2 linked regions of the Danio rerio genome follow. The protein of the gene in region 1 interacts with the protein of each later gene in a biochemical or structural test. Links are inferred from orthologs where the notes say so. Each region holds a gene or a part of one and is shown on either strand. Other genes may lie near its edges. The genes, in order: thap12b and dnajc3a.

Region 1 (17,811 bases):
AAAAAATAGAGACAAATTTTTAAATTTGTTTATAACATTAAGAAAATGTTAAGGAAAAAATATCAGAAATTAGCAGCATTGAGCCCTACCCAGACCTTTGATGCACTGTAATTAATGCAATCTAGTCAGTAGGGCTGGGGGATTTGGCTTTAAATCAAAATCTCGATTAACTGAATATTTTAACTTGATTACGATTAATAATGATAATGATTTTTTTTATGATAATGAAATAAAAAAATAATAATTTACTGACCCACAGCGCTTTCCTGTTGCCATGCATGTGTGCTTCAGTGTGCTGTTTGTGTTTTGCAATAGCACTTCTGAAACGCTATGTGTCGTCACAACGTATAGTTACATTTTTGAGAGGTGCGCAGGTATGCAACCGTGCGAAGGCTGCACTGGACCATATGCATGCACTTGACGTAAAAGTATAATCAGTCTTAACATAGTGGGGTCACGTGACTCCACACGCAGTGAGGAAATTAATCGAAAAAAATTGACCTATTAAAATAAAATCGATTATAGATTCTAAATATCGATCTTGGTTTTTTTTTTTCGATTAATTGTCCAGTCCTACCAGTCAGCCTCTTTTTGCTTTCAAAGTACACAATTATTCCTGTGTGCGAACCAGTGTGCGGGTAAACCATGCTCTGAAAACTGGCTTGATCATTGTAGTGTCTCTGAGTGAAGCTAAACACTGTTTGTTTGCCTTATTTCCAGGAGGATCATCTGGAACAAGCACCAGTGGCAGAGCAAGATCCGATCCAACTCACCACCATCGGCACAGCAGCGGGCATTTCGGCACAGCTATGCCAGCCATAGACTGTGACAACCTGTGCCCTCAGGTGAGCCCCTGTGGCTTCTCTTGTCAAGTGGTTAAAGCGATTCAGAGTTTGACCTTTCTCACCGAACAGTGCTTTTTTCTGTTTCTGGTTTGTGCAGGCGAGACAGCCTTATCATCCACCAGTTGTATGGCCTGGAATCGTAGGACCAGAACCTGTCACTGTAGAGACTCATCCAGTCCAGGAAACCACTTTTCATGTGCCTCCCCAGCATCCCAAGGCATTGCACCCCCATCACCATCACCACCACCATCATCACCACCACCACGGACAGGTCATTGCAACGCGACCACGGCCACGACTCTACAACTCGCCCACCAACAGCGCCTCCACCCAGGATTCCATGGAGGTGGTGCACGGTCATCTGTCCATGACATCTCTGTCTTCCTCAGCATCCTCTTCCTCCACATCTTCCTCTTCCACAGGAAACCACGGCAACCAGGCTTACCAGCTCCGCCATCTTCCTGCCAACACCCTGGACTTTAGCCAAAACGGAAGTTTAAGTATGAGTATGGGTTTGGGTGCCTTCTCAAATCCCCGCCAAGAGACTGGTATGGCTGGAAATCCCACGTACCCCGTTGCCACAAACACAGGAACTGGTCACTTTATAGCAGAGGGACACCTGGGCATGAGACAAGGCATTGATAGGGAAGATTCTCCAATGACTGGAGTCTGTGTTCAGCAGAGCTCGATGGCCAGCTCGTGACTTTAGCTGAAATTGGTTTGTTTTGTTTTCTGTGTGATTTTTTTTTTTTTGTTTGTTTCTTTTGTTTGTTTGTTTTTTTTTTAATGGTGGTGTTTTCATTTTCTGTTTTTTCAAAAGGTGCATAGAGAATAAAAGCTGCTCACTTCAGATATCACTGAACCGCTACAAATTGAAGAGTATTTAAAAACAAAAGTCTATATGTATTTCCATCATTTTCCGTTGTCGATTTCTAGATGAGTTCGTAATGCAGCAGATAACCATAGTGGAACTGCCCATTCACTCAACTGCATACAGTACTTGTTCACCATCTGTTTCATCTAGATTTGTTTTAGTTGTCCCTTTTTTTCATTCAATACAGTGAGCATTTCAGAGCTGTGAGCTGTCGTACAGCTTTTTATATGTAAAGCAATGCAAAACATTTGTTTAGTTCAAACAAGTGAAACATTGGACATTATCATTTGGCTGGTCGTTCTTTTCTTTACCCTTTAAGTGAAACTTCTCTAAAGAGCTGTGTGTTTAAACCTGTAGCGTGTCAAGGAAGCAGTACTTGCAGTGATATTTCGTGTTGTCGGTATCGTGTAACTCTTGGAGCGGGGCACTGAGCTGCTGAGCTCCGCTGGTGTTGGGTCCCGAGACAGACAGACAGACAGGCAGGTGCAGTACTCTTCAGGCCTGGAGGACCGGCCGGCTTCGACTACGTACAGCAGCTGAGGAGGAGGAGATAATGATGGAGGTGTGCTGAGGAGGGGAGCAGATCCGGATCCAGGTGGATTTGGGGGCTGCTGTCGAGAACCCTTTGGCCTTATGACTTTTGGACCTTGACTGAAAAGGAGCTGGACTTTATCATTAAACAGAGATATGATGGCTGTCCTCTATTTTTCACGTTTAAAGAAAGAGTCCTTAATCGGTTAGTGAAGCTGAACGAGAATCATTATTCAGAGGCCTTTATTTAGCAAAGATTTTTCTCTTTTAAAGGACTCCAAATTGCAGGGTCTTGCTCAAACGTCCCTAATATGACTTCCTAAAATTGCCGAAGTGGGATTTCACATAGAAAGTATTCATTTCTCATTGATTGGCTTGTTTTTTTTTTTCCTTTCCCGTCAAGCATGTGGTTTCTATTGGAAAAACATCTGCATAAATTTGCCTCTTTGTGTTGAACACAGAAGATATGTAATGAGATTTATGTGACTGCCTTTTTTCTCCTCTTGAATTATGCTGTGAATCTTACACCAATTACTTTATTATGACCGTCTTTCTATTTTTTTCTTGTCCTTTTTTTTTGATATACCAAAGCTGTTGTTTTTTATAGCACTAGGTGTCTGTAAGAAATAATGTAGCAGTTCACCACTTCAGCCCGAGCCTCATCAGAGTCCATTTTAGTCTGTACACACTCTCTCTCAAACTGAAACGTTTGCTGAACTTTGTTTTAATGTTAACGAAATACTGAAATCGGTTTAATATATGGAAAAACCTCCCTGATTTGTTACCCTTTTCCTTTTGTTTTTGCTGTCAAGGGGAGGGAAGAGGGACACTGACGGTTACTCTGCAGGCTACAGAGTAGCTGAGAGCTCATACAAATGTATTCCGAGGAGAGAAAAGTGTTTTGTTTTATATTTACCTGGTCTATCAGTCAGTGATGCTGCCTTTTATACCTAATTTGATGAACATGCTAATTTCTACCTTTTTAAATCTAAGTGGCTACTTAAATTTATTTATTCAGGCAGTCTACTGTAGCTACTGTGACCTCTGCGTCTGAGTTGAATTTGTTAGCCAGTGATTGCTTGCCTCAGATGTAGTATTGAAAGGGAAGCGCTGCCACACAGACACTGGGCACATGCATGTTTCTGAAGAGGAGAAGTGTTCATAGTCACGTTAAGGATAGCTATGCTCACTCTCGTCTTTATATCAGAGGCTGTGAGCCCCCCCCCCACCACCACCACCACCTAGCTTCTCACTTTAGGTCTCAATTGAATTCTTCAGAGAAGCCCTAGTTGGCTCAATTACAGACAGTGGGACACTATCCTGCCGGAAAGCGTGTGGTGTTCACTCTTTTCCTTTAGCGAAGACGTCACTTTCAGACAGAATCATGTTTTTGGTATATTTCTTTCAACAGCTAGTGGAAATCTGAAGAAAAGGGGTTTACCTGAATGTTAGTTAAAGATGTTTTTGCCTATATATAAAACATTGGAGTGCTGTTTGCTGGCGTCGACATAAACATTCCAAATATCAAAATCTTAACAAAATGGCAGAAACTTTTAAAAGAGTGCACCTGTTTCAGCTGTTACTAAATGAGGTCTGATTTAGTGCAGTTTTCATGAAATGCAGCCCCTTTTTAATAGTTGAAATAGAATTTATGTATATATTTATATTTTTTTAAATAAAGGAAGTATAGAACTCACTACATTGCTCCTGCTGGTATGTCAATTACATTGCCATCTGTTTGCTTACCTGTTTATTCCCCCTTGCATTTTCTTTTAAAATCCCTCCTTGTCTTGGTCGATGGACCAAATTTGCTTTTAGTCAGATGCATTTGACATCAACAGGACAACATTAAAGGTAGGGCTTATGACTTGTACCGAAGGAATCTTTTCACAGGGTATGACGCATGTGTGTGTGTCCACACTTTTTATAATGCTCATGGTTTGCTAGGTCTGTTTCTCCCCTTTTCTTAGAAATGCATTCTAGGTAATTGTCACTGATACACAAGATCATGTTTTTTAATTCAACATTCTTCTGCCTTCTGATTATTATTTTTGAGTTTTCATATTTTCTTGACCCTTTTCATGCAACATGCACTATATAATTGAACAGCATGGGGAAAGGATAAGTGTCCACAGATTGTAAGCTCTAGTCAAGACTTTGCTGTGTATATGAAAATGCCCTTTGTATTATATTCAAACAGTCTTATGTATGATATATAAAAAATAACTTAATTGACGCGCTCTTGGCTTTTTTTCTTTATTCCATGGCTTGTTGCTTCACCACATCGAATCTAAACATTTCATTATAAACCTGTTAAAATAGTTGCTGCGGATTATCAAATCAATACACCAAAAAATCAAAAACTCAAAAATAAATTGGCGGATATTAAACTTTTTCAGTCAGTAAGTGGATGTTTAAGTGGCGGGAATTCTGATAAATATTGCGCGGCTCGTTGGTCTAGGGGTATGATTCTCGCTTCGGGTGCGAGAGGTCCCGGGTTCAAATCCCGGACGAGCCCACCTTTTTTTTTTACTTCCGAATATGAATTTGCTTTGACCTCACATGGTTCAAAATAAATGCTACGTGCTCAACTCCGACTGAAATATACGTCGTTTTGCTTACAAAGAACCATTGATCTAAATACAGAGATCAGACTAGTTTGATTCTCCGTCATGGCACTGTGTTCGGTTCTTTCGAACAGTTCATTGGTTCAGATTCAGTGATTCTTTACGTCACGATGTAATTATGAAATCACGCGCTGCATGCCGCTATGACAATGAAGAAAAGTAACACTTTTAAACCTCTGTTAAATAAAATTTGGCTTTTTAGTGGTTATAACTTTTTAAATGAATTAACTGTTAATTAAAAAAATAATGTTAACCTACAATGTTCAATGCTTACTTATTTCTTAACAACAGCACTGTACACAAACAATAAACATTCAAAAATAAAAGTAAAATTAAAGTTATAATTCATACCTCTACCTATAATAAAAGCTTTATTACTCAATTTTACACAGTAAGCTGCCTGCACACAACCCCAAAATTTAAACTTCAAATTTAGTACCACCCGTAATGAACTGTTTCAACAATAAAACACATTTATACAGCATCAAATGCTAATGGAAAACACCAGTGTTTCTTTAATTGTCACTTTAACTCTCTAAGAGTCGAGCACTGTCATATAAATAACATGAATGTCCTAGAAAACACCGGCAGGTAAGTGTTTTAAAGCAATGCTCTCAAACTCAATTCCTGGAGGGCCGCAGCTCTGCATATTAGCTCCAGCCACCTCCAACTCACACCTGCTTGACAGTCTCTAGTCTTGAACACCTTGATTATTTGGATCAGCTGTGTTTGATTAGGGTTGGAGCAAAACTGCAGAGCTGCAAGCCTCCAGGAATTGAGTTTGAGGCCTGATTTAAAGAAAATTGTGCATATTTGTGATTACTGCAATCCTTATTATATTAGCGTTACTTAATGATCACTCATCAGTACGATTCCATCTTTCCTATTGTAGATTAAATATTGGATAATGTGGGGTAATCTCAAATCATCTTACTAGTAAGTTGAGGACAGAGATGGCCAAGTTGCCGTCATGTCAATCGCTGCCAAACTAAATGTATCAAACAAGCTTGTGCTGAAAATGTATGTAAGGGAATGAGGGTCTGTTCTTAAGACGCCTAGCCTTTGCTGCCATCTACAGGATTTACAGGTCCTACTACACCAGAGGATCATGCAAGGTCAGAAAGTTGAAGAATTTTCGCTCTGTTTGATTGAAAGGAGAGGCACGGGTACTTTTATTATATCCTCTACATGTCAGGACTATAACCAGCCTGGTGAAACTTTATTAAAAAGTGGACCTTGTTACAGTTATACGCTTCATTTTCTATTAAAATGTGATTTAAATACATTTGAAGTACTATTTTTAGCTGGATTAGCTTGTTGGATAGTCATAACCACACTTTTTCATGTACCAAAATTCCAAAAATATTTTCTAGATAAAAAATAAAGAAATATGAAAAGATACTTATTTTAAAATACAAATTTATCCCATCATCTATTATTAGAGAAAAAAAAATGAATCAGTTTTCAATTAAACACAAGTCTATTGTCATTTAAGGCAGCATGGTTTGCCTCATAGCACGATTGTCTCACAGCAATAAGGTCGCTGGTTCGAGCCCCGGCTGGGTCAGTTGACATTTCTGTGTGGAGTTTGAACGTTTTCCCCGTGTTGGCGTGGGTTTCCTCCAGGTGCTCCTGTTTCTCCTCAAGTCCAAACACATGTGGTATAGGTGAATTAGGTAAGCTAAATTGTTTGCAGTGTATGAGTGTATGGATGTTTCCCAGAGATGGGTTGCAGCTGGAAGGACAAAAATTAGACAAATTCTGGACGTTTGTCAGTGAGGGGTGGGGTGGATTTTCGGAACCACCAGAACCCCCCTGGCTACAGGCCTGCTTCAGGCTGCTTGTATTTGTATTATAAACTTTACATTTTCAACTACCAAGCAGTGGCGCAGTAGGTAGTGTTGTTGCCCACAGCAAGAAGGTCGCTGGTTCGACTCTCTACTTAGTTGGTGTTTCTTGTGTGTTTCTGTGTTGTTGTCCCTTTAATCCAGGGTCACCACAGCGGAATGAACCGCCAACTTATTCAGCATGTTTTATGCAGCGGATGCCCTTCCAGCTGCAACCCATCACTGGGAAACACTCACACACTCTCATTCACACACATACACTTTGGACAATTTTAGCTTACCCAATCCACCTGTACTGCATGTCTTTGAACTTGTGGGGGAAACCGCACCCAGAGGAAACCCACGTGAACACAAGGAGAACATGCTAACTCCCCACATGCCAACTGACCCAGCCGAGGCTCAAACCAGCAACCGTCTTGCTGTGAGGTGTGACGTCGCCAAATAAATAAACATTGAAAATCCAAATAAAACCAGATTAACACCTTCATTAAAAAACATTGTTCACAAAATATCTGCCGAAATTGAAAATGAACTTAAATTATTTAATCAGTCTTGGCGTGGAAATGCAGTGAAAATGAAATGTTAAACCGGCAACTTCTTTTTATTTATCAATTTTACAAGGACATGGTGTTGTCACACAGTGAAAATTAAAATTTAATAATTTCAATTTTCATTTGACAGATATTTTGCGAACAGTTTTATAATTGTTAAGGGCATCCACTGTGTAAAACATATGCTGGATAAGTAGGTGGTTCATTCTGCTGTGGTGGCCCAAGATTAACAGTACTAAGCTACTCAGTACTAAGCTGACAAGAAAATGAATGAATGAATGAATAAAATCGCTGGAATTACCTTCCATACAAAAATAATAACGTTACATTTACAAAATGAAATTCATACTACATGCCCAGCACAACTAAATCTAATTTGTAAAAAAGTAAAAACCATTAATATTTTCACCAAATAAACTGGATTTTCATATTTATAAATCATGTTTTGAATTTACGAATTGGATTTTGTGAATGTGAATTTTGTTGCGGATGTATGACTTTTATTTGACAAAATTTTATTTATGAGACTGATCTGGCTCCACAATTCACTGAAAAGATCCGAATCAAAAGAGCGATTCGTAAATATCAACCGCTTTCAGTATGGCTGATGCATTGTGGGATCTAAGCGACTTGCATTGTGGGTAGACACGCCAACAATGCTAGTGCCTCATAGTTACGCGCCTAGTTCAGTTTTTGCAACGCTGAAATGATTAATTTAGTGTCATCGTAACTAATAGAAACTTAGTCTTCATCAGATCAGACACAATGCCAAATTTTTGTGCCGCTCCGAACTGTACTAGGAAAAGCACCCAATCCGATTTAGCTTTCTTCAGGTTTCCACGGGATCCAGAGAGGTAACTTAACGTTACGACTGTTTTTACAGCTTTATAACACTGTCACTGGCGTTCAGTAGCATCATTATATCTAATTAATTATTCATGAGGACTTATTCATGATCATATTCTTCATATCAAAACGCTTTGTATTGATGTCGATTGGGGGTGCTATTTTCATAGATGTTCGAGATGTTTACCCTATTAAGTTGTGCATGATCGTGCGTGTTTGGTTACGTAGTAAAATAAAGTAAATATTGTCAGTTTTGGTTTTCCCACTTGAAAAATGCTGTATTGTTTATAGTAAAGTATCTAAATCATAATCAAATTACACAATTTGTACAACTTAAATTCTACCACAATACAACACAATTTACTGTAGTAAATACTAAATGTAGGTATAAGATTCTGACGGCATGATAACCTTCACAGTATTGGGATTAACGTTACTGCTTTAAAAAGATATTTTTAAATGTGTGCAAAAAAAAAAACCTTTCCCACACTGAACCCAATGTTTTTCATTTTAGAAAACGTGCATAATGTTGGAACTGTACACATGTCAGTCTTATTAACTAAAATAAATCATTGACTTTTGCTTTCTTCGTTAGTTTCAAAAACAGATTTCCTCACAACCTGAAAAGACATTGTGTATCTTTTTTTCTCTGAATGTACATTAAACCACCGCACTGTTCAGGTCTATAGCATGTTGGGATGTTGCTGTATAAGTGATTTGTTTTTCAGATGTTTCCTGAATCATTGGCTGACTCTTGATGTGGAGTGGACTTTTATGCTGGATATACTGTTGCCCTAAAAAGCCTGCATAAAGTAGTAGTAAAAAATGTTAAAAAGGAATAATAATAATAGAAAATGTTGTGGTTTTAAAATCTAAACTGTTCTAAACTGCGGTAAACTTTGAAACTGGTTATCGTCCATGAGTACACTGTAAAACTCAACAGTGAACTTTCTCAAATGAAATGAGTGTAGTTAACTCAAAATTTACTGAAAGATAATTCTACTCATTTGAAAAGAGTTTTAAACTCCGTATTGAAGGCAATGAGTTAATTAAATACCACATTACTTTAACTAAAAATGGAGTAAGTTCACAGTACTCGTAGAGATCAGTTTTTAACACAAATGGTTTGTAGCGATCGATTTTCTCAAACAGTTTGAGTTGCCTTAACTTATTGGGTTTTACAGTACACAGTTGGTTTAAGTTCTCCATTTACTGGGTTTTACTGTGCTTAAATTGCTTCTTTTACTCAAATGGAGCAAGTTACAGTAACTCATTAGGATTCGTTTTTTTAACTTAAATGGTTTGTTGCAATCAGTTTCCTCGAATGGTTTGAGTTACCTTAACTTTTTGGGTTTTACAGTGTAGTAAAATCTAAACTATACTACAGTATTTCTGTGTTTACTATAGTTCTGATAAAACAAACTTATTATAATTATATAGTTTTAATAATATGGAATGCTGCTGTATCCATAATTAACAAAGAGTTTTAAAAGCACTACACTATGAATTTTAAGTTACTATAGTATTCTTTTCACATGGAGTTAGGGCTGCATGTTCCTGGAAAAATGTAACATTGCAATATTTTTTATTCTGCTATATTGTGCATCTGAAAAGTATTCATAGTATCCATTCACTTTATTCCACATTTTTTTATTTCGGCCTTATTCCAAAATGGATTAAATTCATTAATTTCCTCAAAATTCTACACACAACACCCCTAATGACAATGTGAAATTTTTTTTTTTTTAAATTGTTGCAAATTTATTAAAAATAAAAAAGCTGAAAAATCACATGTACATAAGTATTCACAGCCTTTGCTCAATAATTTGTTGATGCACATTACAATTACAACCTCAAGTCTTCTTAAATATATGTTGCCACAAGCTTGGCACACCTGTCTTTGGGAATTTTTGCCCATTCCTCTTTTCAGTACCTCTCAAGCTCTATTAGGTTGGATGGGAAGTGCTGGTGTACAGCCATTTTCAGATCTCTCCAGAGATGTTTAGGTCTTTAGGTCTGGGAGAGGATTTAGATCTGGGCTCTGGCTGGGCCACTCAAGGACCGAGTTGTTGTAAAGCCACACCATTGATATTTTGGCAGTGTGCTTTGTGTCATAGTTCTGCTGGCAGATGAACCGTCGCCCTGTATTGTAACATTAAGAAAAACATGGAAAAAGTGAAGCACTATAAATACTTTCCGGATGCTCTGCATATTGTGATGTGAATACGATTTCACTAGATGTATTGAATAACTGTTTGGAACGAAATTATAATTTTAGATTTACTGGGATAATTCTGTGAAGGAGTTCATTAAATACAATGAAAAATCTACAAGCATAGATGAATTCCTTATAGAAAAAGGTACTAATTAAATAAACAGCAATTTATTGTTTTCCAGAGGAGTCGATCTGTATTCAGGTATGCAGTAGATGAATAATCAAATGTAAAATTATACTGCATAGTCTTTGTTTAATAAACAATTCAATCAAATTAATTGTCATTAAATTAAAAATGATACAATTTAAAGTCTTCACGCAGTCACAGGCCTCAAAAAAGGCTTGTGAAATTATAATCCAGACTCAACATTGCTTATACACGCGATGTGACTATTGCGAATGATCACATTGTGATATCGATGCTGAAACGATATGTTGTGCAGCCCTGTATGGACTACATTTTTCTAATGACTTGAAAAAGTTTAAACGCTTTGTCAAATTAACCAGTAAATTGTAACGTTACATGTGTAATTTATTTTTTAAATGTTTTCTTCTCTAAACCTATGAATAAGTGTTACAAGAGACTAGTCATTGTTTATTTCATAAACCTTTGTGCTTTGTTTTACTTCACAGATGTAGGCTGTGGGTGGAGAACTGTCGGCGTGCAGATCTGGAGGAGAAAACCCCTGATCAACTGAACAAGCACTACCGACTGTGTGCTAAACACTTTGAACCAGCCATGATTTGCAAAACTGTAATGCAAAATACTTCATCATTGTAGTTTGTCTTTAAGATATTTAGTAATAAAGCAGGAATCTGTTTATTTTTAATCATATTATTTTCTTATTGTCTGAGTCTTTGATTTGTTGTTTTAAATGTACACGGATCAGTTAAGTGTTTTTGTTTCGGTGTTTTTCAGAGTCCATATAGGACAGTACTAAGAGACACTGCTATACCCACAATTTTTGATTTAACCAGTCATCTAGGCAACCCCCACAGCAGACATCGCAAACGCATCAAAGTTTTGGTAGGAGAAGTTTCTTTTTCATGTCCTTTGTGTGACATATTTATATTCTGTAGAGTTTACCACCTAATAACTTGTTATTTTTGAGGTGTAAAATTGAAAACCTGCCCAGTATTTCTTATGTTTCTTGTATAATTGTTGTTGATAAGTAATAGAACAGAAAACATCTGACATAAAGTGATGCTTCATTCTTGCTTTCCTCAGACAGATGAAGAGGTACAGAAAATCAAGGAAAGGCGATGTAAGTATATATATTTGATTTTGGACTAATAATACTTTTAAAAATCACACTACAGGCCATGAATCATGAATATTTATAATAACACATATCACACATTGAGTTGTATGATTCTGGAATTCGGTACTAATCGATACTGAAATTTAAAAACCTCCATTTAAAACATTTGAGCGCTGTGGAGCATGTTCTTAAAATCTGCTGATTTGCCATTGGGTTCACATGCTCAACAGAAATGACTGGCCGTAAATGTCATCAGTTCAGTTCACCAAACTAGAGGTCTGCAACTAGAGGACCCGACCAGCTTTCTTGCGGCGTGGCATGAATAAAATGCAGTAGTGGTAGAGAGCTCTTGTGTAAGTTAAACGGGAGCCGGGGGTCTGACTATATGTCTGAGAAAGAGAGCGAGAGCATCCTCCGTAGTGCTGTGTATGTGTCTGTGTCTGTGTGTGTGTGTGTGTGTGTGTGTGTGTGTGTGTGAAGGAGAGAGAATGAGGGAGAGCACTACTGGTGTGCACCACTGCCCTTTTTGCAATGTCTTGTTTGTAAGCAGCAACGCTGCACTGCTTTGTCAATACGAATGTACAGTTATTGGTCATGCCAATAAAACACCTAAATGTGAATGTGACAGCACATTCGTGGCGACGCAGTGGCGCAGTGGGTAGCACGGTCGCTGGTTCGATCCTCTGCTCAGTTGGCGTTTCTGTGCATGTTCTCCCTGCGTTCGCGTGGGTTTCCTCCGGGTACTCTGGTTTCCCCCACAGTCCAAATACATGTGGTACAGGTGAATTGGGTAGGCTAAATTGTCCGTAGTGTATAAGTGTGTGTATGTGCATGTTTCCCAGAGATGGATTGCGGCTGAAAGGGCATAAAAAACTAAAAACTTGCTGGATAAGTTGGTGCTTCATTCCGCTGTGGAAACCCCGGATTAATAAAGGGACTAAGCCGACAAGAAAATAAATGAATGAATGACAGCACGCCCGCCATGGTGCTGTGTGTGTGTGTGTGTGTGTGTGTGTGTGTGTGTGTGTGTGTGTGTGTGTGTGTGTGTGTGTGTGTGTGTGTGTGTGTGTGTGTGTGTGTGTGTGTGTGTGTGTGTGTGTGTGTGTGTGTGTGTGTGTGTGTGTGTGTGTGTGTGTGTGTGTGTGTGTGTGTGTGTGTGTGTGTGTGTGTGTGTGTGTGTGTGTGTGTGCGCGCGCGCGCGCGCGCGTGTGTGTGTGTGTGTGTGTGTGTGTGTGAATGAGAGAAAACAAGCGCAACCACCATGCTCTGTGTGTGTGTGTGTGTGTTGCTTGTAATAGGCTAACTGAACTCTGTAACATCTATACAGTTTATAACATCTATAACATCTATATATGGGTGTTTTTGGGAGTCCTATTTAATCACTATACAATCTTCTGTGGCCCAATATGCACCTGCTACATGTATAGAAATAATGCTGATGTGAAATATGAAACTCAATCAGTAGTTGACAAATATATTGAGTGGATATGTTTGCATATCTGACTTTGAAAGAGCCTCACCAGCCACAAACGTCACCACATGTCACGTGGCACTCATGTCTCATCACAGAGGGGCAAACAAAACTGACATTTAGCTTACAATCCTTGCACAGGCTACACTTTTATCTGTTATCTCTCTCTCTCTTTCTTTCGGTAGTGTTCAATTTTTACGTGAGATTTTGAAAACCAGATCTAAATTTAGTGGGAATGGTTGGGTAGAAAATGGGGCGGGTGAACAAAGACTGAATATGCGGCTGGAGCAGTCTGGTGCGTTATAAAACCTGGCGGGAACGGGATTAAAATTTCAGTCCTGAAGCTGTTTGGACAGACATGTGTAGGTATAGTGTATAGACCGTCATATTGGGGTGATACAAACACACCCAGTCCTTTTTTTTTTCAATTTACCAACATAAAAACAGTTTGCAAACATGTTTATTTTTCATTGCGTCTACCTTAAACTTCAGCTGTTTTTTCTTGCGCACACAGAAGCTCCCTGTGATCCTAACTAGGTGCAGCTGGAAAGTGCGAGATTTCTGTCAGGGTACACACAATGACGCTTCCAGTCGGCAGCTGTCCATGGCGCCCAGCCACGATTCGGGAAACCTCCTATTTCAGTCGTGCCACAGAGCACCATCTGAATAGTTTCATATTAAATAACATCCGAATGTGCGTGTCTGGTGTTCCGTGTCGTGGCTCTGAGCGATGCATCTGGTGCCTCAGTCAAAGTTAATTCAGTGTGCGTGGTTATTAGTCTCAGTGTACAAGCTCGGAACTTTAAACTAGCAGTTGGCTGTAAAACTATACGAAGACAAATGCTTTTGCACTCTCTGCTTGGTCTATGTCCAAGTCATACATGCTGAATGCTGGTCCTCTCACTCATGTTGCTCACTCTCTGTCTTCCTGTCTTTTGCCAAACACAGAGCGGGTGCGCTCTTGGCCCTTGTTACATTGGACGGGAAGTCGAAACTTATTTTCATGTAAAGCAACACGCCCCTAAAACAGCGCCCTGTGTACATGCCCCCAAAATAACACTTCTGAACACATTATAATAAAAAAATCTGAACTGTGTTTTGAACTGAACCTAAACTGGCACACTCAGAAGAACCATAATAATAAATCTTAAAAAAGGGGTAAACTATGTGACCTTTATTAATGCCTGGTGTAAAGCAAGGCCTTTTTGAGGATGTAATATTGACCAGCTGATATGGATGCATTAGTAATGTAATTTTGACATACTGATTTTCATAATCAGAAGCTAAAAACGATATGTTGGCTGATAAATACAGATCTTAAAACACATTTTCTGAGCCTGATAGCAATTACAAAATGCAAAGAAATCGTTACCAATAACATTAAAAATAAACATTTATTTAGCAAAGTCACCACCAGGCAACTGTACATTACCATCTGATTTAAAATGTACTAAAAAAAGCTTTGTCTCCATCTTTTTAGTGGAGTCTTCAATTGAACAACTCTCGAAAAAAGACAGTGATGCTCAGGATGACAGCGAGACCACCGATGATGTACCTCGGCTCACGCCAGAGCAGAAAGACCTAAGAGAGTTCTTAAAGTCTTCATTTGAAGTCATGATTTTGATAGGAAGGCAAAGCTTTCCATTCAGCAGCAATGCAAGAGAAGATGAAATGCGCTCTAGAGAGGAATGGCTGTTTAATCCAGGTAACTTTCAAGCATTGCTTGAGAACCGCATCAATGCAGGCGATGAGTTTCTCAGGAGGAGATTTGAGTCAGCGGCCGTTAATGAGGAATATTGTCCAGCCGTCCAGCAGAGACAGCTTCTGGATGTTTGTGAGAAATGCGTCCGTGAAGAGATCCTTCAGCAGGTCAGGGAATGCCGCTTTTTTTCGATTGTCACCGGTGAGTTGGTGGACTTCCCAGAGGGAGAGCATCTACCTATATTCCTGCGCTTCGTAGACCAAGACAACACTCTCCGGGAAGAGTTCATCGAGTTCCTCTCATTCGAAGGAGAGGAGGTCACTGTTGCTGAGAGATTAGAGTCTCGCTTGATGAAGGGTTGGGGCTTGAGTATGGAGCACTGCCGAGGACAAGCCTACGCAGGATCTGGTATACTTGGCACCAAGATGAAGGTCATCACTGCCCAGCTAAAAGAAAAATATCCCATGGCGGTGATCACACCTACTTCCACCTGTGCTCTTAATGTTCATCTTGCTAACGGCATGTCGTTGACCGGAGTGCAAGTCGTGATGTCAGTTTTAAAGAAGTCAAATGCTTTTTTCAGAGCATCCCCTTTGCTACAGACTGAACTTGACAATGCCATCTCCATCCTCTGCCAGGGAAACCTAGAAAAAGAAAGCATCCTCAAAGAGGGCTCTCGATCAACCTGGACAGATCTTCATAACCTGTTTGAGATGGCTGTGGATTTGTTGGAGCCACTTCTGCTCTGCATGGACAGCATACATGATAATGAGGATCTAAAATGGAGTGACCAAGTCACCAGTGACGCTTACGCCATTTCCGAGGCCTTGGCGGACTTTGAGTTTATTGTGACGTTGGTTATTTTAAAGAACGCATTGTCTTTTACCAGAGCGTTTGGGAAGAACTTGCAAGGAGAAACCATTGATGTGTTTTTCGCCGCCAACAGTTTAACTGCAGTCCTGCATTCGCTGCATGAGGTATCAGACAATCTGGAGGTATACCATGAATTCTGGTTCGAAGAGGCTGTCAATATGGCGACTGCAATGGAAGTCCCGGTGAGAGTGCCAAGGTTGTTTCTTCGGAAGCAACAAACGCCGGACACTATAGAAATACAGGCAGAGTCGTTCTTTAAAGAGTACCTCACACAGCCAGTTATGGAGTACATCACGCAGGAGGTCAAGGACATCTTCTCTGAAAATCATCTCAAAGCGCTCAAGTGCCTGTCTCTCGTTCCTGCTGTCATGGGCCAAATGAGGTTCAATACCTCTGAGGAGAGCCACGCGGACATTTACAGGACCGATCTACCCCATCCTGACACGCTGCCTGCTGAACTGCATTGTTGGAGGATAAAATGGAAACACAGAGGCAAGGAAGTTAGCTTGCCGTCCACCATTTACGAAACCCTTCAACACTCCGATGTGAAGTTCTTCCCAAATGTTAATGCGTTTTTGAAAATATTAGCCACATTACCTGTGCTGAAGCTTGATGGGAGTCACGGTGAAACTGCACAAAGACGCTTACAAGCTTACCTTACAGACACTGCGGTCAGCCAGCGGTGTAAAAATCTGGCGGTGCTAAATATCAATTACCATATAAAGACAGATCTTGAAGAAATGGTCCAGTGTTATTTAAAACGTTACCCAGAGGAAAGCAAGACTGATTAACAGCTAAGAGATATAGGCTTCCCAAGTGCTGAAAACCCTTCAACTGGAAATGTATTATGCATTGGAATTGTATAATGCAAAGTATTTTGTTTTCATCCTTACCTCCCCTGCTCCAAAAAATAAAATACTATTTTTACATTTGTTAAAACCTAAAAAAATTGATTTACCATGCAAGTGGGCTGATAAATGAAAAATTTGACTTGAGGAATCAATTATTGAAGACAGTTTTATGAGTTTGTGTTTGTATAAACTGCTCTGTTGTGTAAATAAAGTAAAAGAACTTTTGATGCTTCAAAACAAGGATTCTAGAAGGTCTTCTACACTGTAAAAAGACTGTTATTTTACTTTTTTTCTAGCAGCTGGGGTACTAGCAGAAAAATGTACCATAAAAAAGCAGGTAAATTACAGACATTTATCGTAAAAACAGAAGTAAAATTACAGAGATTTACTGTAAAGAAACAGCCGTTAAATTGCAGAAATGTACCGTAAAACCACCCGTTAAATTACAGAAATTTTCCATAAAGTAACAGATGTTAAATCTCAGAAATTTACTGGAAATTAAAATTTAAGGAAATTTCTGTAATTTAACGCAGATTTTTTTCAAATGTCTGAAACTTTTAGGATTTTTTTCATTCAACCCAGCTGCTGGGAAAAAAAGTAAAATAACTGATTTTTTTTACAGTGTGGAAAGATTTTTTTTTTTCAGATTTTAAATGTCTTTGTTCAGCATCATAGTCATGGATTGTATTACAGGGTTCTTACAGGTGCTGAAAATCCTTGAAAATGACTTGAAAATTTGACTTTTCTTATGTTTTGAAGGCTTAAAAAATGCTTAGATTTTGGATAAACTGCTTAAAAATGTTATTGTGTTGCTTTCCTAACAAAGCGTCTTATGAGTAGGGCCAGACAGAATCTGCTGACATTTTTTGCTATTCTGAGAATTTTGTAAAAAAAAATCTGCAGGTTTTTTATTTGAATGATTTTAGGAGTATCATAATTAAAAACGTAATATAAACATGTTAATAAAAACAAAGCATATGAACATTTCATTATTATTACATAATATTAGTGAAATTTATTTAAAACTATATAAATTTACATTTATTTACACAACTAAATATTGTGCACAACAGTATACACAACAATGATTGGCTAAAAATCTGCAGATTTCTGCATATACGCAGGCTCCTTGTGTGCCTAATAATGGGTACTAATAATTTAGCTTAAGTTAACAAAATCTTAATAAAGAGAACAAATGAAAGTAATTTAATGTTGGGTTAGTCCAAACATACTGCCAAACATTTTCCTTTGAGTTCTATATTATAATATAGAAAACTATAACAACTAGCATCTGATTGAATGTGAAGAAGTATGTA
Region 2 (16,057 bases), on another chromosome or scaffold:
ACAAAAAAGAAAAGGGATTGTATGTGCTTTGTAAGAGAACTCTTTGTTCTGAATTGGCATGATAGTTTGCGCTGCAAAAACTATAAACAGTACATATTTCATATTACTATTAAAATAAAAAGCAAACAACGGATTGCATTTGAGCATTAGCTTGTCCTGTTGACAGACGTGTGTTTGGGATGTGGACTCCAGAGAGATGCGGGCCGAGTGCTTCATTCAGATGGGGGAGCTGGGCAAAGCTATCAGCGACCTTAAGGCTGCTTCAAAACTGAAAAGTGACAACACTCAGGCCTTTTACAAGCTCAGTACCATCTATTATGACCTGGGAGACCATGAGATGTCCCTCAAGTAAGACAACATCTTATTATTTGTGTATTAAGCCTACATTTACACTACTGTCTTTATTTTATTAAGTCTTATTTGAACTATTTTAAAAGCAGAATAAACTAGAATAAAAGCAGTTTTTGATTTTTTATATAAAACATTTTAAGGTCAAAATTATTAGCCCATTTTAAGCTATATTTATCAATAGTCCACAGAACAAACAATTATTACAAAATAATGTGCCTAATTACCCTATACTGTCTAGTTAACCTAATTTGCCTAGTTAAGCCTTTAAATGTCACTAAGCTGTATAGAAGTGTCTCAAAATATCTAGTCAAATATTATTTACTGTAATCATGGCAAAGATAAAACAAATCCGTTATTAGAAATGAGTTATTAAAACTATTATGTTTAAAAATCTTTTCTCTGTTAAACAGAATTTGTGAGAAATAATAAACAGGAGGGCTAATAACTGGACTGACACAGTTTCAATTTAATATTATCTTTCATGTTAAGCTGCTTTGACACAATCTACATTGTAAAAGCACTGTAGACATAAAGATGAATTGAATTTAGTTGAATAATTCTGACTTCAACTGTATATATAACAATCATAGGCCTACCTACTGTATGATTGATATTCAGGCATTTTTATGTGCATATAAGTTCTCTCACAAATGCGTGTACACAAATGATAAACAACGATAAATTAGCAAACATATGTAAATTAGTAAAAGAACTGATACACAAGACACATTTCTAGTGCCAGTTATTGCACAATAATGAAATACCTGCGTTATTACACCCCACAGAACATTTTATGCTTTACCACTCCCTCTCATAAAAAAATAAAACATATTGGCAATCAATTATCTAGTGATCATCTTCAAGGCATTCAAAAGAGGCTGTCCATTTCTGTAATTTAACAGTAGTTTTAATGACTAATTTTTAATAATTTGATGATGATGATGGTACATTATCTTGTACTAGCTATTTCGCAAGACAATAGTATTAAGCTATTTAAATTGAAGTTTGCTAATTAGGTTAACAAGGAAATTAAATCAACAAGGAAAAGTAATCGAAATTAAGAATCTATCAAATTTTTCAAGGATGATTTTTAAAATTACTTTCCCTATTGCATGTGGAGTCGCGTACATATTTGAAAATAGTAAAAAATATTTATTTATTTTTTTTTTTTTTGTGTTTTAGTCTGTATATTATGCAGTAACATGCATTGATCCAGGAGAAAGTGAAAGTAGTATGTTTTAAAATAAAAAACACACAAGTGTAAATGCAGCCTATGTCTGGGAGCTTGGAGTTCCTGTCTGCTACAAAACATATTATACTTTGAAGATGTAGTGAACTTTTGTCTGCTGGATCCATTATTTCAGCTTTTGTTTGTGTGTTCAGTGAGGTGAGGGAGTGTTTGAAACTGGACCAGGATCATAAGCAGTGCTTCAGCCACTACAAACAAGTGAAGAAGCTCAACAAGCAGATTCAGTCTGCTGAAGAACTTATCCAGCAGGAGAAGTACGTCTTTCTAAATCTATACATTTTTAGGCTACATCTGATTTTGTGTTGTTGCTTTTTTTTTTTTTTTCCAATGCTATTAAAATGATTTATAATTGTATTAATTATATATGATACTGGTACTTCTAGAGACTGAAATAACACATCCCAGAATGTATTTTATTATATAATCTTGATTTTAATTACATTAGTAAATGCATTTTAATGAATGTAATATCTGTGTCTTTTAAATGGACATTTTGAGATAACAATGAAAATATAGAGCTGACTATATTTAAAAAACAATTGTTGCTATTAATAGAGTGGCTCATTTTACTAAATATTGCATTATACTATGAAGCATAAATGCTAGAAAATTTTGAAATACTCATGAATGCTAATAATGCATGGATGGCAGTGTATGTTATTTCAATTATGTATTATGTAATTATGTATCTGGCTACACACACACCCACACACCCAGTAGGGTGGGTGATCAAAATACAGTAAAACTGTAATAATGTGAAATGCAGATTTACAGTTTGATATGACTGACTTTTTAAATATATTTTACAATGTAGTTCACTATAATGGTATAGCTGAATGTTTAATGTTCATCATTGCAACATGATCTATATAATGGGATCATGATATACTGATTCAGTGTTTAGAAATAATTATTTAATTAATATGAGTAATTAGATGTATATTACATTGTAAATGTAGTGCAGAATAGCTTAGTTAAAATTGTAAAAACTTTTTTTAGGGTTTATTTGTGGTAAAAAAAACAACGATGTTTTATGGAGAAAAGTTCTGAAAACAGCATTTATTTGAAAAAAAAAAGAAAAAATAGTATTCCACTAATTTTTGCTAAATAAAAGTAGCCTCGCATTTTTTTTATTTGTGCAGGAAATTTTAAGTATTTGAAGTAAATGTACACCTATTGATCAACTGTCTAAATAATCTAAATGTTGTTTGTTTTCGTAAATGCACAGGTACAGTGATGCAGTCAGTAAATACGAGTCTGTTATGAAGACTGAACCGAATGTTCCCCACTTCACACTGAACGCTAAAGAACGCATGTGCCACTGCTTATCAAAGGTGAGGATGAGCTTCTGTCCACAAGATGTCGCTGTCAGCTAAAACATACGCTGCGTCTGTGCTGAATTAACATACTGTAAGTGAACAGGTTTCACTTTTATTTCACAGGACCAGCAAACCGCCAGAGCCATTTCAGTGTGCAGTGAAGTGCTAAACACTGATCCTCAGAATGTCAATGCTCTGAAAGACCGAGCTGAAGCTTTACTGCAGGACGACCAGTATGAAGAAGGTACTGGAAATACTGAACAACACCCACCCAAAACTACACTACAGGGATTTAAAGACATATAGTTATGAAAAATTGAACGATTGCTATTAAATAAAAAATAATATAGACCATTTTGAGGGACGTAAACAAAAACGATGGTCCCAGCCTACTTCCTCCTTCAGATCATCTAAAAAGAGCCACATATTGATCAATAATGTTATGATGGATGTTCTAACTTTAATTTATGATTGAATTGCCTCTTATTACAGTTATAAGGTTTCATAACAAGCAGGAAATGTTCATGGGCCAATGACCTGACAACATTGAAATGGACTATATGAGTAAAAATGAAAAATCTTTGTTAGGTACATTTTAAAAACGCATTTATTAATTTAAGAATAAAATAAAACACTTTCTACATTATCAGCCTTTAATATATTTTCTCTGCTGATAATTTTATTTAAAGCTCATTTACAATTTGTTTTAAAAAAAACAGGAAAATCTTGAGGCCAATACAGTGTTTGGGCTTTATTTTGATGGTCCATGCGCAGAGCGCAAAACGCAGGGCGCAAATGCTTTCAGGGAGTGTCAGGACGCGTTTTTGCTAATTTAAGGACGGAAAATCTGCCTTGCGCCGTGGCGCATGTTCTAAAAGGGTTGAGTTTATTTTCTTAATAAGTTATAGGTGTGTTTTGAGAATAAACCAATTAGAATCTCATCTCCCATTCCCTTTAAGAGTCAGCTGCGTCGCGCCAATAGCGCATTCGCTATTTACAGGAAGCAAATAAGTGGAAAAAATGAGCATTTCACTAGCAAACAGTTAACAGTTTTTAACAGAAAACTGTTAAACAGAGCATCTACTGCGTGATAATGAGAGATAATGGATCACTTTCAATTTCGCTCTTGGATAGGAACAACCTTTACGCACAGACATCAATTAGTCTATAAATAAATACTTTTGTTTGTTAAGAGCAAAGATTAGTTTCAAAACTATTTCTAAATTCATTTCTAATGTCCAGCAAACGAATAAATGAATAATAATAGCAAAATGTGCTCAAAAACCTGAGTTATATCCTAAAACACATGCTTTGCCCCATATGGTCTAAAACCTGATAGGTGGGCAAATCTAAGCTTGTTTTTAATAAAACAAATATAAATATGGATATAATAAATAATACTGCTAATAGTAAAAACATTACACAAAAGCAAATTGTTATGAATGAACTGAAAAAGCCTCCTGAGATGAAGAAGACATAAAAGCAGTGGTTTTTCATATTTATGTAGGCTAGAAAATAATGTTTTGTTATATTTTAATCCTTTATATTTATATTCTATATCTATTCTTATTATATCCTATATATATCCTTAATATTTAAATTTTTTCATATGTAAAGATATTTGCCTATTGCTCTCTTGTGCGTATTAAGCAGTGCGTAAGCGAGGCGCAACTCTGCGCTGGAGTTTATACCGGGTTAGTTTTGGTCTAATGAAAAATCTATTATAGATTCTCAAAATAGCAACGCGCCAGCGGTACGCCTCAGAACGCCTTCCTTTTTAGACCAGAACGCCTATGGGCGCAAAAATGAGCGCTAATGCAATTGCTATTTAAACAGCGTAGAGCAACGCCTCAAAATGACTCTTGCGCCAAGCTGAAACTACCAAAAGACTACTGCGCAACGCCTTGCGCCACACTGCGCCGAGTGTATGATAGGGCCCTTTGTGTTACTATTGAGACATTTTTAATGTCAGTGTTATTTATTATAAATTATAAGTAGTTTTTGCTCATGTTATAAATATGCTCATTTAAAAAGTCTTATTTGTTTACAAATATTACATACAGTTAAATTGAAAACATGCTTTGCCAATTAAATGATAAAACGTGTATATATATTAATTATGACAAGTTAAACATTAAATCCATTTTAGAGTATATTATCAGCACTTATTTATACTTATATTTGTACTTTTCAGCATTTATAATTTAAAGAAGTTTGTCATGTTGTCATGTAGATATCGGTCCATAAAATATGATATAAAATGGATTAAAGTTATGTTAGTTTATTTATAAGAAATTAAATATGTCAGTTGTGTATTACAGTCTATATTTTAGACAAATCTGAAGGATTATCTGTAAAATATCCTCTTAAAAATCTGACTAATGTTAGTTAATGCATTTATTAACATGAACAAATGACAAAATATATTTGCTAAAGTATTTGTTCATGGTTGTTAATGAAAATACAATTGTTCATTGTAAGTTCATGTTAATTGATGATGCATTAACTAATGTTAACAAGCATGAACTTGGTTAATAATGCATTAGTAAATGTTTAATTTTGATTAATAAATGCTGTACAAATATTGTTCATGTTAGTGTGTGCATTAATTTATGAACCTTATTGTAAAGTGTGACCTCACGATCATTAATGTTTCTAGAATTCCTCATTTTAACTATAAAACAAACTCTTTTGAACTCTTTTAATGTTTCCTCAAGATTTCTCATCAAAATAACTGACAGAATTATGTCCTTTTTTTCAGCCATTAAAGACTTTCAGAGCGCTAAAGAGTACAGTGAAAACGACCGGCAGATCAAGGAGGGTCTGGAGCGAGCCCAGCGCCTCCTCAAACAGTCCAAGAAGAGGGATTACTACAAGATCCTGGGTGTCAAGAGGTTTGACAACACGCATACACTCACACACCATGACTCTCAGTCAGATGTTCATCAATGCAGAGGCCCGATAATAATGAATGAACACACTCAAGAATGTTTTGTGGTTGCAGAACGGCCCAGAAGAAGGAGATCTTGAAAGCCTATAGAAAGCTGGCACAGCAGTGGCATCCAGACAACTTCCAGGATGCAGAGGAGAAGAAGAAGGCAGAGAAGAAGTTTATAGACATCGCTCAAGCCAAAGAAGTCCTCACTGACCCAGGTACAGTTTAGTGTCATGGCTGGTTTAAAAGTCACCAAAAATCAAAATCATCAATCAGAGAGGACTGTTGCACAAAATGAGTTGAACAAACTCTGGGATACAGAATAGGCCAATCTTTGGGTTTACAAAACCAAACAACTCAAATCTGGTGGTCTTAAAATGCTTGAAATAAACTTTCTCTGTTATCTCAGGGTTTAATCCAGAGTTAGTGGACTGCACACAGCTCACAGTGTGACACGTACAGCAAACAGCCAATGAGAGAGTCTGTTTGATTTATTTCTGATGAGAGCAATTCACTTCTGTGTTGAAAATTTAAGAGATTTTATAATCAGAAATATAATGAATTGAAACACATTTTACAGACAGAAATAATATTTTGTGGCATCAGCAGATGACTATTTAAAGAAAATATTATATCTGTACAAATCAACTGATATTTGTAGCCTCACAAACCACTTAACATTTCTATTACTTATCTATGTGTATATTAAAGCAACATTATGTGTAAATATTTCAAGTTTAGGCTATTACTAGTATTGATTGGATACAAGATTTTTATACTGAGAGCACATTGATGGATACATTATAGGTTATTTATCATATATCGAACTGAAAACTCTTACCTAATCATGACTAATGTTTTTAATGTCAATTAATTTTACTTTTAAATATCTTAATTAACTGTGAAGTTGTTGTTATTAATATGTAATGTTTTATCTATATCGATCTTGTCATGAATGAAATGGCCATAAGTTGCTGATATGGCAGTAAAAAGCAAACAAATGAATAATAATAACTCAAAACTATTAATATTATACCAACTATACTTATGAATTAAAATAAATATTAGCATTAAAATACAGTTTTCACTCATAAAAAAAAATTGGGAGTTTGGGATTGATTTGCTCCATCAGCTATAGTACTGTATATGTTTTTCTTTTGGCTGAGATATCCCTTCAAGTAGTTGACAAATCACAAGAACCTAGCCTGTTTGACCAATAAAAAGGAGAGAAAACTTAAAAAGGGGGGGTTAAAAAAACTTTAATGATTTATTTCAGACCCTGTAAGAAGAGAGCTAATGCAGTAGTGTTCATCGTTTAATTTAACTGTATTGACTTTGGATGCTTGTTAACCTTCTAAACAAATCTAGTAACCTTTAAAATGGCATATTAGGAGCGGTTTAATCTTAGTAGTTAACAGTGGTGGAAAGAGTACCGAATAATCATATCCGGTGTAAAAGTACTATTTCTGGCCCAAAAATGGAGTGAAAAAGTATTTGTTGTAATCACTGCTTAAAGTATGATTAAAAAGTAGACCTTCCAAAAGTATTAATGAGTAGTGATTATTACGCTGTAAAAAGTTGATGCGTTTACATATAATTTGTAGATGTGTGTAAACGTAAATTTCTGTAGTGCCTTTACTTATTGCCCAGCAGGCACACAACATCATAAGACGTTAATATTAAGTTAGATTTAGGTTGTGATGTCAGGTAACCAAAATTCAATGTTCAGCAAATGTCTTAGGACAACATTATTTTGATGTCCAATAATGAAGTTGATATTTCGTTGATTAGGTTGTTAGAAAGTGCCCAAAATCCAACATCAAATACTGACCTTTATTCGTCAGGTATGGCAACCAAAATCCAACATCTGATAGGCGTCACAGTGGTAACATCCACACAACGTCAAGCTGTAACATCATTAGATGTTGACTTTAGGTTGGACATTGATGTCAGCTTGAAATTGACTTGTGACATCAACCCGATTTTTATTTCCAAACAAAAGGCATTCCTCAACATTGCGGTATAATGTCAGTCTGACGTCTTGTTGACGTTTTGTGTCTGCTGGGTATCTAAGGGCATTTCGGTCATTGTATAGTAAACATCCAATCATCATCTCATCAGTGACATTCATCTTAAGTCTCTGGGTCAATGTGTGTAAATATTTTGAACATCTTCTTGGACACTTTTAATGGTTGCAAACAGTTTGCTGCAATTATAAATTGCCCATGTCTTGAGGTAGTTCATTATGAAGCGATTTACCTTCTATGTGCAACTTTGATTGGACAGGAATCACAGGTCTTATTTTTCTAATTCCCGTAGACAAGAAATAATAAAGTAGTGACTGTAGGTAGATGGAAAGTAGTGGAGGTAAAGTACAATACAGCACTAAAAATGTACTCAAGGGAAAGTAAAAGTACACATTTTTAAAACTACTTAGTAAATTACTATTTCTTAGAAAAACTGCTCCATTACAGTAGTTTGAGTATCTGTAATTTGTTACTTTACACTACTGGTTGTTAAGCACCTGTAAACAGTGTCATGCTATTCATTTCTCTACAGAGATGAGGAGTAAGTTTGACCAGGGTGAAGATCCCATGGATCCTGAGAGTCAGCAGGGTGGAGGACATCACCACCACTTCCATGGCGGCTGGGAAAACTTCCAGGGGTTCAATCCGTTTGGTTCTGGACCTTTTAATTTCAAATTTGGTTTCAACTAAGGCTCTGCTGAAGGACCCGGGGCCTGGATATATGCTGGAGTCAGCAATTGGGAACTTGAGACCCCTCACACACAGGAGCACTTCAGATGGGACAAGCGCCTTGAAGCTCGTGGTCAACTGATCTGTGAACAGCTCCTCTACTACAGGGATCTCACAGTCCTGAGTGCACGGTCAATGTGCGCATCGACCTTTACATTCCTGAGAATCACATGTACATAGAAAACAGTATTTTTCTATGAATCAAACCAAGCTGTAAATAATTAAATAAAGAGATATGAATGCTTATTTAAATTACCTGGGTTTTGGGTCTTTTACTGAAGAGCATAGAGGCATTTAAAGAAATATATCACCCAAAAATGAAAATCCACTTATTTTCTTACACTCAAGTGCTTTTAAACTTCTGTCGAACACAAAACAACAAATTCTGAATCTGAACAAGGTTGGAAAAAGCAGCCATTAATATTCATAGTAGAACAGTTTTCCCCCAACATTCTTCAGTATGCTATAATAAAAAAATTAATTAAAAATCTAGGTTTCAGAATTCTTTCGCGTTGTCCTAAAAGAGGTGGTCCACTATGATATCATATTTGAAACCTTAGTTGATGTGTAATGTAGCTGTGTGAACAAACAACATCTCTGAATGTATTACGCTCAAAGTTCAATGCAAAGGAGACATTGGCTTTACAGAGTTAGCTTAGCAAAGCCTACAGCAAACAAAGTTTGAGGACTACAAAAAACATCCAGGCTAGTGAGATCACATGGGCTTCTGGTTCTGTGCATTCACTATGCGCATACACCCTGTCCAGTAAAGGGGCGCTGTAATGTTATAGCAGAGAAAACTGAAATGCTGTCCAAACGCTGCTATTGCCACAAAGTTTGTTCTCTTTCTGTATTTGGGCTTTAAACGGACACGACACAAAGACAGAAGTGCTTACAGTTTAATTTTAATTGTGTTCCAGAGAATTATAAAAAATATACAGCTAGCATTTGACAATGGACAGCTTCCAGAATCTCCCTCAGTTCTGTGCTGGATTCTGATAAAAACTCCAAACTCCTCCAACTGATGAAGCGGTGGATTGTGAGCCACAACCTGTTAGTATTTTTATTTGTTAAAATTAATCAAATCCATGCACATTATCTAGCGTTACCGCTGTGTTGTAGCAAGAATGTAAACAATGGGAAATGAGGTTCAGCTGTGTCCTCTTCATTTTCTGTCTGATTCAGGCTCAAACTGATACAGCTAACAGCTACTCTGACTGAAAGTGTTTACCTAGTGCAAAAGCATGTGCTTGAAGATGTGTGAAAATTTTCCTGGTCACGTAAAGCTGATCTGCGAATCACGGCACATTAAATTAGCTGCTGGCCAATCAGAGCCCCTTGAGGGCGGGGGTTTCAGAGGAACTAGGATATATGACAGTCATTCGTACATGTTAGCCGAGTAGCTGTATATAATCAAATATATATATATATATATATATATATATATATATATATATATATATATATATATATATATATATATATATATATAAAAACTAATTTTATACAAATGAAGCATGAGCACACAATGCTTTGCATCTTATCAACCCAACCAAGCCTTATACATACACTCTGGACCACCCTTTTAAGTAAACGTAACATTGTTAACATTTACAAATGTAAGTGGTCCGAACAAACAATTAAGTTGTCCCAAAAAAACACTTAATTATTGTGTTGTTTTAACTTATTTCCAATTATTCTGAACAAACAGCAAGTTGTTTGAGTGTATATACTCCTTTGTGTTCAACAGAAGAAAGGAACCTGTTTCTAACAAGGAATAAGTAAATAATGACAGTTTTTATTTTTGAGTGAACTATCCCTTTTAAATTAATCAAATTTAAAACACCAGCAGTTTATAAACAGGCTTTCTCCACCTCAGAATAAAAATATCACTTTATTCCTGAGAAAATCACTGAACATCAAGGCATAGAAACAACATGTACAGAGTCATGTACAACATGTCAATGATGAAATGCAAGAATATAAATAATCAGGGAATGCTGGAAATCAGCTTCAGTAACTGTCATTCAGAAAGGTCTTCAGATCAGATATGCAGAACTGACAAGTTTTGACAATAACAAATATCTTGATGTCCTTCATTTGGTTTACAAATGAATGATTTATTCTGGAAATAGTCTTCTTCATAGTGTTCAGTTTTTCAGTACTCAAACATGAGTTGTAATTAATCAGAATGTATTAGTTATTACTGAAATTGTCATATACCCTTCAATTTGCACGCAAACAAAAGTATTGTACAGTTATTTACTGAATACAAAAAGGCCATGTGAAACAGAACAAACATGTAACCGTTTTCTCTGAAGGAATGTACACAATATTGACATGTTTCTCCCTTATAAATACTTCAGATAAACACCAGTGCCTTTGCAAGTTCATGAGCTGGCCAAAAATATCAGATTTCTTCAATGCTCTTCAACAGCGTTTTATAAAAAGCCAAGACATGTTTACAATTTGAAATAATTCAAACTGAATCTTCCTTCAAAATCACATACATAAAATTGACATGAAGTCCTTTAAAAATGATTTCTGTCGTGGAAAACATGGTTTAAGATTTACAGGACGAGTCGGTTTTCTTGAGTGCTAAAGTTCGTCACGTCGATTGCCTGTTAAAATACAGATGTTCATGAACTTTGCTTCAATCACAAGGATTACTGAAGTATTGTTGTGTATTGATTAGAGTTACCTGTGTGCTGTGTGGATGCTTTACTCTGGGTAATTTCTTTTTTCGCTTCTTTCAGAAAGCGTTTTATCTCATTGTCATATTCCGTCCACTCTGAAACAATCCTCACCGCTGCACTCAGCTTGGGCTCTTTGGTCCTTGGGTTATTACACTGCAACAAATCAAGCCCAAAAAGTCAATTGTGTAGGCGAAACACTTCCTTCAGCTGTTTTAGCAGAGCTTTTATTTCAATTTTTGAGGACTTCAAGTGAAAACTGTCAGTACTGTTCACCTGTAATAGAGGCTGATGTCAACACTTTGGTCATTTCTGATTCACAGAGCACATTTTTACATTTACTACAGCACTTTCAATGCTGTGGACACAAAGTTTGGACAATTTACATCCAATATCAGCTTAAAATGGTTTTTAAAATGGTATTCAGACCCACTTGAGAACTTTACTGTAGATTGTAGTTGATTAATACTTTATTTTGATGGTCCATTTGAGTATTAGTAGACTGTCTGCTTAATATCTGCTGATACTGCTCCTTCAACAGACATTTAACTGACTAGAAGAAACTTTGCAAGTACATGTCAACTTACACCAACCCTAACCCCAACCTAACAGTCTACTTATAATCTAATGAGAATTAGTTGGCATGTAGAAGCAATGCGACTCAAATTCAACAAACAGACCATCAAAATAAAGTGTGACCATATAATCTGTGTTATGTTTACAACAAATATTGTATTTTAATATTTAATATTTCAAAGAATAATTTTTAAAGGGTAAAGATGAATAGAAACAGAAATTTGTCCAGACTGCTCAATGTATTGACTGGTACTGTAGGATTGAATTGAAATTTAGCATTGCAGAAATAACAAGCAAAAGGATTTCCTGCAAGCGATAGAACTGCAGATGATAATTATTAGATTAAAGTTGAAAACATTTACATTTACTTGTAAGTTTGAAAAAAAAAGCTTAAAAAAGCTTAAAGTCTGAAGTTTTCAACTATTAGCATGTTGCTATCCTTGTATTTAATTCAATTCATCTTTATTTCAATAGCCCTTTTACAAGATTGTGTCAAAGCAGCTTAACATAGAAGTTCTAGTAAATTGAAGCTGTGTCAGTCCAGTTTTTGTAGCAAATTAAAGTATGATATAAAGTTGCTGACATTTCTAAAGTTTTAACTCATTGCTAGTGTTTCCATAGATATAGACTAGATATTGCACACGAACCCAGAGTATGCATCAGTAGCGCTGCCACATATGTACAGTGCTCCCAAGACAAACGTCCTTCAACTGCAATAGTCAAGACTAAAGCCAATCTAAAGATGCTGGACTGTAGCGTTGTGTACGGGTGTAGTAATGAGCAGACAAAGAAAACAAAGCATAAAGGCATCACATTTCATAGGTAAGATCTGGGTTTTTATGATTTTATATGTTATGAATGTTTGTGCTCAACAAGTAACGTTACTGATGATAATAAAGTCACTTACTGCACTGACTATCAGGCAAAGTAGCACCAACTTGCTCGAAATACTGGACTTCTGCTAGTTTTGTTGAATAAAATAGGCAAACAATGTAAATGAAATATGACAAGACACTGTACTGTCAGATATTTGTATTATTGTCAGCTAAGTGAAGTGACGCTAGTTTTTAAAGTAACTTATAAGGGTGTCTGATTACAAAACTGCCTGCGCCTCAATGTGCATACTGTACACCCTAAATTATTGAATATTACATATGTTATATACCATTTAGATCAGAAAGGTGAATATGCACATTGAGCCACAGGGATATCGATGCTTCACACGAGTCATTTATAATGGGGATTCATTCACAATATAATCGGTCCCTCTGAATTAGAAGTGAAAGCAGGAGAGGGGGTGTGTTTCAGGACATAGATTAGATCAAGTTTAACAGGTAGGGTGGATAAAACATTTCCATGCACTCAAACACATGCCCTTTGTCAGCAATATGTGATCACTTATCCATCAATGTAGAAAAGCGATAAAGCATAATTAAAAATATATATATTTGCATACTGACCACTGGAAAAACTTTCAATCATAGACATATGTATAAATATTTACATCTCTCTGGCTCTGGATGGCCAGTCCTCCACTACATCTTGGTCCCACATTCATTGCAAAGGAGCGCTACCCTGTACTAAAATGGCGGCTCTATTGACACATTCCTTCCAATAAACAACAACAGCATAGGCGACATCTAATGTATATATCTATGGTGTGTTTCTTGCATGATTTGTTTTAGCACATTGCTTTTGTCTCTAGCATGTTTTGTTTTAGCATTTTGCCAGCATGTTTTTAGCATGATTTGTTTTAGCACCTAGCTAGCATGTTGTAGTTGTTAGTATGTTTATTGCAAGTTTCGAACATTTTCGAAACTTTCGAACTTTTTGGCTTAATCCCTTTATTAATCAGGGGTCGCCACAGTGGAACTGCCAACTTATCCAGCATATGATTTATGCAGCTGATGCCCTTCCAGCTGCAACCCATCACTGCGAATCATCCATACACACTCATTCATACACTAAGGAAAATTTTGCCTATCCAATTCACCTATACCACATGTTTTTGTACTTCTGAGGGAGCACCCGGAGGAAACCCACACCAACACGGAGAGAACATGCAAACTCCACACAGAAAGCCAACTGACCCAGCCGAGGCTCAATCCAGCGACCTTCTTGCTGTGAGGCGATTGAGCTCCCCACTGCCCCACTGTGCTGCCCCTGCTTTAAAAACAAATCTGGTATAATCATGAACTACTTTTCAGTTAATTTATACATTTAAGTTTATTTTAATCTTTAAACTTTTTTTCTGATTATCTCTATTTCTGTTTAACAACAACAAAGAAACTGACAAGAGTTTGGAAATTAAGTAAATGAATATATTTTCTTTTTGGGGGAAAAAACAACCCTTTGTTATTTAAGAATGTTTGGTATTATGTGTATGCATTACATCTTTAAATAAATTGAATTAAGACCATATAAACACTATGGAATGGTAAATCAATAATAATAATATAGAGGGTGACTGCAAACACTAGTTGACAAAGCAAGACTAAAATAAGTTACAATTGCAAACATTCAGTTTGTGTTAATAAAAATAACCCCTGCCTGCCCCTCACATGGCTGGAGTAAAGCTTTAATGAGGAGCGGATGGATTGCAGTGGTAAGCAGTGCAGTGAAGCCTGTTCCCAGACCTGTGCTGTGCGCTGCAGTCCACACAGCCACCGCCGCCTCTAATGAGACCATTCCCAGGAGCAGAAGCAGGAACAGGGTGTAAATGAGACTACTATTTTTGTCATTCTGTCTATGTGTGTGTGTGTGTGTTAGCCATAGTGGGAATGGAGAAATCTGGATTTTATCAGACTGCAGGCATTTCACCTGTATATCATCTCACAAGTCGACTTTTTTGGTCAAATTAAATGGTAATTTATTTAACACAAAAAAAATGTAAATTAGCAACAAAAATACAATAAGTCAGGTTTTCTAGAGGCTACCAAATATCAGCACTTTGTACTGTGTACTGTATTGGTAATCTTGTTATATTTAGTAACATTCATATCCGGTCAAATCCAGTTTATGGAGGGCCGCAGCTCTGCACAGTTTAGTTCCAACCCTGCTTCAACACACTTACCTGTAGGTTTCAAAGAAGCCTGAAGGACTCAATAAGTTTGATCAGCTGTGTTTGAATAGGGTTGAAACTAAACTGTGCAGGGTTGCGGCCCTCCAAGAACTGGCTGACACCTGTGTACAAATGTCCCGCTGCTGTGTGCTTGTGTTGAATAGCAGTGTCGTGTGCATGTTAACTAACCAGATCTATGGTCTTGGCTGTAGTTTTGGAGTGGTCGTCACACCAGGTCTCGCACCACAGCCACTCCTGGGGCAATGACTTGATGGCAACTTGATGGATCATGTTGTTGGGAAGGTCCTGTTAGCATCAGACACCAATGAGAAACATTCAGTTGAAGTCAGAATTATTAGCCCCCCTGAATTTTTAGCCCCCCTGTTTATTTTTTCCCCCAATTTCTGTTAAACGTGGAGCAGTGTTTTTCAACACATATTTAAACACAATATTTTAATAACTAATTTCTAATAACTGATTTATTTTATCTTTGTTATGATGACAGTAAATAATATTTTGCTAGATATTTTTCAAGACACTTCTATACAGCTTAAAGTGACATTTAAAGGCTTAACTAGGTTAATTAGGTTAACTAGGGGAAAAAAAATTAGCTTAAAGGGGCTAATAATTTTTATCTTAAAATGTTTTTTTTATTAAAAACTGCTTTTATTCTAGCCGAAATAAAACAAATAAGACTTTCTGCAGAAGAAAAAATATTATCAAACATACTGTAAAAATGTCCTTGCTCTGTTAAACATCATTTGGGAAATGTTTAAAAAAAGAAGAAAAAAAAATCAAAGAGGGCTAAAAATTCTTACTTCAACTGTATATTACATGTAAGTGCTTGTCATGTGTTTTTATAATAAATAAATAGCAGATAGATTTACCTGGTCAAGGTTGGACAGGCTGTTGGGATCTTGGCTTAAGGCTTGATACTGTCCTCTCAGTCGGTCTCCAGCTGCGATCTTTCTGAACTTCTTCAAGTCCACCACATATAGTGCACTGGAGAGTAAAGAACACATTATATTACACATATCCTAATATTAAATGGTGTAGCAATCTATATCAAAGACGTATAAAAATATGATACACTGACATTAGTCATAAAAGGGAGAAA

Evidence for each region.
Region 2: the proteins of thap12b (region 1) and dnajc3a form a complex in vitro, tested with the Homo sapiens proteins (2 studies listed by BioGRID). The link is inferred for Danio rerio from reciprocal best matches to the Homo sapiens genes THAP12 and DNAJC3.

What each region holds. Positions count from the first base shown.
Region 1 is NC_133190.1:22,347,837-22,365,647, forward strand, and holds thap12b (THAP domain containing 12b), read left to right. Parts: upstream 1-7,028; 5' UTR 7,029-7,085; coding exon 7,086-7,150; intron 7,151-7,972; exon of another isoform or gene 7,973-8,040; coding exon of another isoform or gene 8,041-8,129; intron 8,130-10,969; coding exon 10,970-11,090; intron 11,091-11,255; coding exon 11,256-11,363; intron 11,364-11,564; coding exon 11,565-11,601; intron 11,602-14,549; coding exon 14,550-16,435; 3' UTR 16,436-16,732; downstream 16,733-17,811. Other genes in the region: dyrk1ab (dual-specificity tyrosine-(Y)-phosphorylation regulated kinase 1A, b), read left to right, coding at 721-845, 943-1,548. UniProt on the Homo sapiens protein: Upstream regulator of interferon-induced serine/threonine protein kinase R (PKR). May block the PKR-inhibitory function of DNAJC3, resulting in restoration of kinase activity and suppression of cell growth.
Region 2 is NC_133184.1:31,149,924-31,165,980, reverse strand, and holds the end of dnajc3a (dnaJ homolog subfamily C precursor), read left to right. Parts: intron 1-166; coding exon 167-348; intron 349-1,734; coding exon 1,735-1,854; intron 1,855-2,828; coding exon 2,829-2,934; intron 2,935-3,042; coding exon 3,043-3,163; exon of another isoform or gene 3,164-3,659; intron 3,660-4,853; exon of another isoform or gene 4,854-5,680; coding exon 5,681-5,813; intron 5,814-5,923; coding exon 5,924-6,072; intron 6,073-8,413; coding exon 8,414-8,571; 3' UTR 8,572-8,862; downstream 8,863-16,057. Other genes in the region: uggt2 (UDP-glucose:glycoprotein glucosyltransferase 2), read right to left, coding at 11,209-11,231, 11,312-11,459, 15,130-15,246, 15,828-15,942. UniProt on the Homo sapiens protein: Involved in the unfolded protein response (UPR) during endoplasmic reticulum (ER) stress.